Linked DNA regions of Mus musculus. The protein of the gene in region 2 interacts with the protein of the main gene of each other region in a pairwise test. Links are inferred from orthologs where the notes say so. Each region holds a gene or a part of one and is shown on either strand. Other genes may lie near its edges.

What was found. The genes of interacting proteins can lie anywhere in the genome.
Region 1: the proteins of Mipol1 (region 2) and Enkd1 interact in binary tests that used the Homo sapiens proteins (3 or more experiments, as listed by UniProt). The two-hybrid records come from large-scale screens. The link is inferred for Mus musculus from reciprocal best matches to the Homo sapiens genes MIPOL1 and ENKD1.

The regions. Positions count from the first base shown.
Region 1 is NC_000074.6:105,705,409-105,709,632, forward strand, and holds the start of Enkd1 (enkurin domain-containing protein 1), read right to left. Parts: upstream 2,801-4,224; 5' UTR 2,749-2,800; exon of another isoform or gene 2,516-2,748; 5' UTR 2,501-2,515; coding exon 2,416-2,500; intron 2,336-2,415; coding exon 2,141-2,335; intron 1,331-2,140; coding exon 1,158-1,330; intron 1-1,157. Other genes in the region: 4933405L10Rik (uncharacterized protein C16orf86 homolog), read left to right, coding at 3,024-3,107, 3,388-3,605, 3,992-4,176. UniProt on the Homo sapiens protein: Microtubule-binding protein which regulates microtubule organization and stability. Promotes the stability of astral microtubules and facilitates the proper orientation of the mitotic spindle.
Region 2 is NC_000078.6:57,303,424-57,306,933, reverse strand, and holds part of Mipol1 (mirror-image polydactyly gene 1 protein homolog), read right to left. Parts: coding exon 3,383-3,510; intron 924-3,382; coding exon 797-923; intron 1-796.

The DNA of each region.
Region 1 (4,224 bases), on a different chromosome or scaffold from region 2:
GAGAGCCTGGGGCTAAAGAGCAAGCTATAAACTCAAAGAAATGAGCTGAGAGTGGTGGTCCAAACCCGGTAGACTAAGGCAGGAAAATTAGGCCAGTTCAAGGCCAGCCTGGGCTACATAATGGGTTTGAAGCTATTCTAGGCTACACAGGGAGACTCTGTCTAGAAACAAAGTAGCAGTGGAGATAGTGGGGTGGGGGTGGGGTATGGTTGGGGGTGGGAGTAGGAAACAACTCAGCAATAGCACAGGACAGTTCACAGCTCTCTGTAACTCCAGTCCCAGGAGGCCCATCCCCTCCTCTGGACTCTGGTGCACAGACAATCATGTAGCCACACAGACATGTAATTTTTTTTTTTAATCTCAAAGAAGTCATGAATGAATTAAAAGAAAAAGAGAAAGTAGTGTGGTAGTGAACACTTTTAATCCCAGCGCTCAGGAGGTGGACAAAGGAGAGTTAGAAAGTCAAAGAGTAGCCCGGCGTGGTGGCCCATGCCTTTAATCCCAGCACTTGGGAGGCAGAGGCAAGCGGATTTCTGAGTTTGAGGCCAGCCTGGTCTACAAAGTGAGTTCCAGGACAGCCAGGGCTATACAGAGAAACCCTGTCTCGAAAAAAAAAAAAACCAAAACAAAAACAAAACAAAAAAGAAAGTCAAAGAGTTTGAGGTCAGCCTGGGCTGCGTGAAACAGAGACACAGAGATAGGGGAACCGAGAATGAGTTAGCAGGAAGGTCGTGGGTATATTATATGAGTACCTAGTGTGCATGTGTCTCACGATTCCATCTCCAATATCACATGTAACTAGGTAACTTAGGTAGTTCTTTCAGATATGTACCCTGCTGGCTTTCTGTTCAAACCTTCTGCTTCTCCCCCTTACAAACTGAATTATGCCCACTATGCCCATTGCCCCTACTCCCTCTGATGCCAGAATCTACCTGTGGGGTTTTATCTCTGTGGAATGTTCTCTTCCTCTAGCCTAATCCTTGACCTGATGCCATCAGCTCCCCAGAGAAAGTCCACCCAGATGTCTTAGTCTTTTGTGATCACCATCTCCCCCAACGCACGCACTCATGAACGCACGCACACACATGCTCTGTAAGTTAGATCAGATATAATTGCCTTGGCCAAGATGGATAGGTCTGCCTCCCTGGGACAGATACCTTCATCCTGGCCTTGACTCGAGACTCCACATTGTCATACTTGGGTGAGCGCCACAGTGCCTTCAGTGGCTTAGGCTGACCCTGTTCCCGGCTGCGTTCCTGGTCTTGGAAGCGCCTCTGAATCTCTTTGATCCGCCTCAAGTTTTCCTTCTCATGGTCCTTTGGATTCTTCCCTGGAAGGGTGCAGGGAGGAATATTGCTAGGGACAGCCCTACCAAATGGCCATGCACCTCGGACTAGATCGAATATAGATTCACACCCTACCCTTGGCAGAAAGACCTCTCAGACAATCTGGGAGATGTCTGGTAGAAGAGAGGCCCTGGGTTCACACACACATACACACACATTTTTAAATACAACCAAGGCCTCTTCATGGAAGTTAGACATCATACCCACAGCACAGTTATCAGCTTATTCCCTTCCACAGTCACCCTCCTGGTTATCTTCTACATTTTATGATTTAGCATACCATTAATCACCGTGTATATTATACACATGGCCTGTCTTGTTCATTGCCTCCAACTGTGACTCCCATACTCCCCCCGCCAATTTTTTTTAAATTCACACATCCCAATTGTAGCCCCTCTACTCCCAGTCCTGCCTGTGCCAAATCCCCCCCCCCCCATTACCCCTTTCTCTTCTCCTCAGAGAAGGGGAAGCCTCCCTTGGATACTACCCTACCCTGGGACGACTCCCATACTTTTTAACCCCGTTTTCCTAACAGCTACAGGGTTTGGCACAAAGTAGGCACTAAGTAAACAATGCTCCATCAAGGTGTGAAAGCTTGAAGCGAGGGCTTTCTGCAGAAGGATAGACTCTGATCCTGCCAGGAGGTATTGTATTTTGCCCTTCTTTTATGCTAGAGAAACTAAGACCCAGAAAAGAACATTAACTGCATGGGCTCAAGGCAATTAAGAAGCACCCTATTTTAATCTCTGCTTTTGACCTAAGAATGCCTCAATACCCCGTCTGCAAGGACTTACTCTTAGGAGAGACCCCCGAACCGAGGGAGATGCACCCCAGTTGCAGCAGCACGTCCCCCACGCCTCGCTGGCCACGCTCTAGGATCTCTCGGGCTTCAGGCCTGATGCGAGGGCCACGAGGAGGACTGGAGTCCAGGTCCCGACCTGAAGTCAGCAGGTCCAGCTTCAACGCGTTTCCTTCCAGGCGTCCTTGGGCTGAGGAGCAAGACGCGGTGGAAAGCCGTGCTCAGGGGTGGGGCGGGGTACTCGCCCCGCCGAGGCACCCCGCAACTCACCCGAGGCCGGCCGCCGGTAGTAGTCCGGGCAGAGAGTGGGGTCTGGGGGGATGGGTCCAGAGATGCGGGACGGGCCCTCGCACATGATCCTACCGCAGCCCTGCAACAGTGCACCAGGGCCTGTTGCGCTGCGCAACTTTCCCCTCTAATCCCTGTCGGGTGCTTCCACCCTCCACCCGAGCCCTGCATCCCCGCGGTAGCCCCCATCACCGAGCCCCACCCCTCGACGACCGCCCGTCTCTAGGCGCAGACTGTACCACCGCCCCGCGACTAGCCCACTGCCCAGAGGGGTTCGCCGCCCCTCCCCCGCCAAGCCCCAGCGAGGGCTCTCACTGGAGCAGTTTTACCGCCAACTGTTGCAAGCCGGTAGGAGTTGCTGTTGCTTGGCAACAAATGGCTTCCTGAGGTCAGGGGTCAAATGACTAAGGCGAACAGCCTTCTGGGGTTTGTAGTTCCAGATGAGGAGTGATTCTAAGTCTCGGGTCTCAACAGGAGCCTTACCTCTCAACCTGTCTCCCCTACCAGCACTGAGTACCAGTCCAGCCCCGCTCTGGGCCTGAGGTTTTCTCTGATCAACTGTCGAGGGATGCACTGATTCCTCATAGCCTATGGCCTCAGAAGGGGCCAAGAGGCAGCCAGAAACCCAGAATGGGGCAGCAGTAGGGTTAGCCCAGGTTGCAGAGAGCCTTGAGGTGACTTGGGCATTTCAAAGCTCGGGAGATGGAGGGGTAGGGCAGGAGAGGTGGGACTCTAGGTAACCCAACCCTCTAACTGCCAGGCCAAGCCCTACAAGTAGAGAGGCCTAAGCTGGTTACCTTCATATTTTGTGGCCAATATGTAGTTAGGAGACACCACCACCCCCCCAACCAAGGGAGATGTACTCCAATTGCAGCAGCTTTGGGCTTTGAATAACTGATCCCCACAATACTTTGCCTGGCCATCGGCTCCCAATGACCTATGTGTATCTTCTAGTGTCCAGGAACAGAAGAGTGTCTGGTGCCGGCACATGAGACCTGCAGGAGCCCAGGCGAAGACAAGTGTCCCGTGGGGCACAGCTTAGAGCCAGAGCTCCAGGAGGAAGGAATAAAGGTGGGAGAGGAAGGGCTCAATGCAGGGGTGGAAGCAGGAGAGGAGAGAGGACCCAAGCCTACGTCATCCATCGTGAGACCAGCTCATGGGCCCAAGAGAAAGTGAGAGGGCTTTCGGAGGGAAGGGCTGGGAAGGTGGGTCTTATGCCCGGAGATTCCTAAATCCCCATTCCTTCAAGGCAGAGATTCTTGTCTTTGACCAATACCCCTCACTCCCAACTCTAGAACTTGGGGGCTGGGGGGTTGGTATGGATTTGGGACTTCTAGATCTTGCAAGGAGACTGAGCTACCATAAATGCTGAGCCTCTACTGGGCTTGGAGCTTCACTGTCTAAGAAATGGACAGCTAACTAGCTCTAGTGGACAGGCAGGGGTAAGCCCTAGGCTCAAGATATAGGAACCAAAGACTGAAGCCTGCCTCTTTCAGGCCTCTTGTCCCAGGTTTGGGTTCCCCAGCCCTCCCAGGGCCAAGCACCATGTCCATCCTAGGTCAGAAGTTGAGCTGCCACCGGGGGTGCTGCAGAAGAAGGAGGAGCCAGAAGGCAGCCACAGTGAATCCTCACTGTCCTCGAAACAGCACAAAAAAGCCAAGAAACGCAAGAGTGGCGGGGCTCCTGTGCCGCCCGCTGTGGCCAGCGCATCCGCACCCGCCGCCGAGACCTTGGGGTTGGAGCGTGAGTGGCAGTCCCTGGGCTCTTCTCTTGTTTTCTTTGTCTTCTGAG
Region 2 (3,510 bases):
GTGAACACTGTCTCAGCACATTCCATTTGAATTGGCACTGTCTGTCTGTCACTGATTTAAATATGGTATGTAAGAACTGCTAAATCAAAGCACAGAAAACATCTCATGCTCAAACAGAATGTTTCTTTTTACTTTCATCCATTCTTCCTTACATTTTTGTCATTTGTCTTGTTTCCCTTCAGAAACAATACTCAGGCTTCAGTCTGATTAGGTCAAACAATAAAATTAGTAAGATCAGAAAACTGTATAGAAATTTTAACAGAACCCATAGGAAGTGAACATTGTTTAATAAAATTATTTACAGACCAGGGAAATTGGAGTTAGAACCAGAGAAGAATAAACATTACATGTGCATTGAGCTGGATGCATGTAATGGTAGAGTAGGATCCAGGGCATATAACACCGTCTGCATCTTTGATGCGTGATTGCATATATTACTGACATGAAAGCATGCGTAGGTACTAAAAATAAAGAAAAATAAACAGAATAGCATGAAATTGGCTGATAATGTAGCCCACATTCCATAATGGTGAAATCAAATGAAATATGAGTATTGTTAATAACATAAATCACAAGCAAAGATTTATGAAAATGGGTGATATTACATAAACCAAAAAAGCTTATTTTCATAACCAATCACTTAACTAAATCATACCTGGATGACAAAGCAACACAAAGCGACCATTGAAGAATTAAAACATGAAATAAAACTGAATACTAAAGGACAACAGAGAAAACTGGAACTGTTGACAGTTAAGACACTGTTTATAGCAATTAGACTTCTACATTTCTATACCTTTGTATTGCTTGCTCTGAGAATTTCCAATTCTTTTTGAAGATATGCTACTGATGTCTCTTTATTTAAGTCTGGGATAACTTGATGAGAAATCACAGGTTCGTAATTCTTCCCACATTCCACAATACTGTAAATAAAGAGGATTTTAAATAATTAATATACATGATTCCATACAGGAATACATTTCTTATTAACAATGAATAAAAAAAGATACTAAGGTTTAAACTTTTATGTAGTTAAAGTACAATGACCACAAAACAATAAATGTATCAACGTACAGATATCAATTTACAATGGGAAAAAACACACAGTGATCCCAAAAGAGACTCCGGTTCAGTCTAATTAGGCCTGGTTCCGTGACCTGACAAGAGTTCAGATTAGAAGCTATAAATGTTTTGATTTGTAGTTCTATTTGGGATCAATTTATATATTTTTTGCTTTTCTGATAATGGAAACAATCATCTCCCCAACGTTATGCAAGGAGTATCATAGTCACATTTTCATTATTAATTGAAAGACATTAAATTAATATCTATTCCCTAAAGAGTTAATAATAAATATATTCTATAAGACCCTGAAGAGACCATATCCAGAGGTTAAGCAAGGCCAATGATGGGAGATGGGGCCACCCACTCATCTCCAAATTTTTAACCCAGAAGGGCTACTGTCTAAAGGAAATATGGGGACAAAGTATGGAGCAGAGACTGAAGGAAAGGTCATCCAGGGACTGCTCCACCTGGGAATCCATCCCATATACAGACACCAAACCCAGACACTATTGCAGATGCCAAAAAGTGCTTGCTGACAGGAGCTTGATATGGTTGTCTCCTGAGAGGCTCTGCCAGAGGTGGATGCTTTCAGTCAACCATTGGACTTAGCCCTGGTCCTCAATGGAGGAGTTAGAGAAAGGATGGAAGGAGCGGAAAGGGTTTGCAACCCCATAGGAAGAACAACAACATCAACCAACCAGACCCCCCCCCCCGAACTCCCAGGGACTAAACCACCAACCAAGGAGTACACATAGGGGGGACCCATGGCTCCAGCTGCATATGCAGCAGAGGATGGCCTTGTCTGGCATCAATGAGAGGAGAGGCCCTTGGTCCTGTGAAGGCTCCATGCCCCAGTGTAGCGGAATGCCAGTGCAGGGAGGGGTGGAAGAACACCTTCATAGAAGCAGGGGGAAGGGGGATGGTAGACGGGGTTCTGGAGGGGAAATCAGGAAAGGGGATAACATTTGAAATGTAAATACATAAAATATCCAATAAAATAAAATAAGTATATATTTGGATTGCATGTGGTCACCGAAAGAAAGAAAGAAAGAAAGAAAGAGAGAGAGAGAGAGAGGGAGGGAGGGAGGGAGGGAGGGAGGGAGGGAGAGAGAGAGAGAGAGAGAGAGAGAGAGAGAGAGAGAGAGAGAGAGAGAGAGAGAGAGAAAGAAAGAAAGAAAGAAAGAAAGAAAGAAAGAAAGAAAGAAAGAAAGAAAGAAAGAAAGGAAGGAAGGAAGAACGAATGAACTGCTTGGGGGAAAAAAACCAGAGCTGACAACAATCACAAGCTGTAAGCAGGAAGTATAATGAAGAAATGAGAAGAAGATGGGTTGTTTCTGATGTATTAAGTATTAAGCACTGATGAGTGTGTGACCTAAGCTCTTGGCAGGAGCATACGCTCTGCCATTTACGTTTCTTATAAATATGTTTATTCATTCTCCCATCATCCTCACCTCTATACCCTAAAATATACTCCCAATTGTACTTCAGTAAGAATCTGACACTAAGCAGGAGGAACACCAATACAGTTATTGATTTTATTATGTATTGATATCAATGAATATATCTGAACAATTCTGAACAGAATAGCAACTCCACAAAACTTTTAAAGTAAAACTCCAGAAAATACAAAAATCAGAATTATGTTGTCGTTTTTAAAATCTAGTGTTATCTTTACTGCACATGATTAATTATCAAAGTAGCATAATCTCACTCATAATAAACACAGGTATCATAGACTCAAAGTTCCTCACAGACGATGACTTAAAGGCACAGAATGTAGAATAATAAGAAAGGCAAAAGACAGACAGAGCACAGGATTACTCTAAAAGCATTCAAATCACCCAAAACAGAGAACATAGTGATGGAAAAATAAACACCTTTGGGCAGGTTTGAGCTTTAATAAATAATACATCATTTACACCAGTTTCACAAGTATCCTTATATGATAAAGTCACAGAAAATAAGATTGAATAGGAAACAAATTTCATTGCTTTCTTTAAACCTATTTTGTGCTATCTCTCAGCTATCTGGATACATTATATCAATACCATGGCAGTAATGGAAGCCCTTATAGAGACCTGAAATTGTTTATTAAATTAATTAACTATTTTATTTCTTTACATCCCAACTGTTGCTCCCCCTCCTAGCCCCCTCTCTCAGAGTTCTTCCCCCGCCCCTTCACACTGAAATTGTTTCCAAGTCACTAGCACATTAAATTTATCCGACACCAAAAATGAAGAAGAGGGAAAATGTATTAAGGAAAGCATGTTGTTCCAAATCTTACTTCTTAGATTAAAACACTAAACCCAACACGCACCTGCACTCTGCAGATGCCCCTTCATCCCGACAAGGTTGGAGGACCTGAAAATTGCTGGGTTTTCTTCCTGGTAGTTCAAGGTCCTCAGATGGGACTTCATTGCCTAATTCGCGTATGCTCTGCTCAGA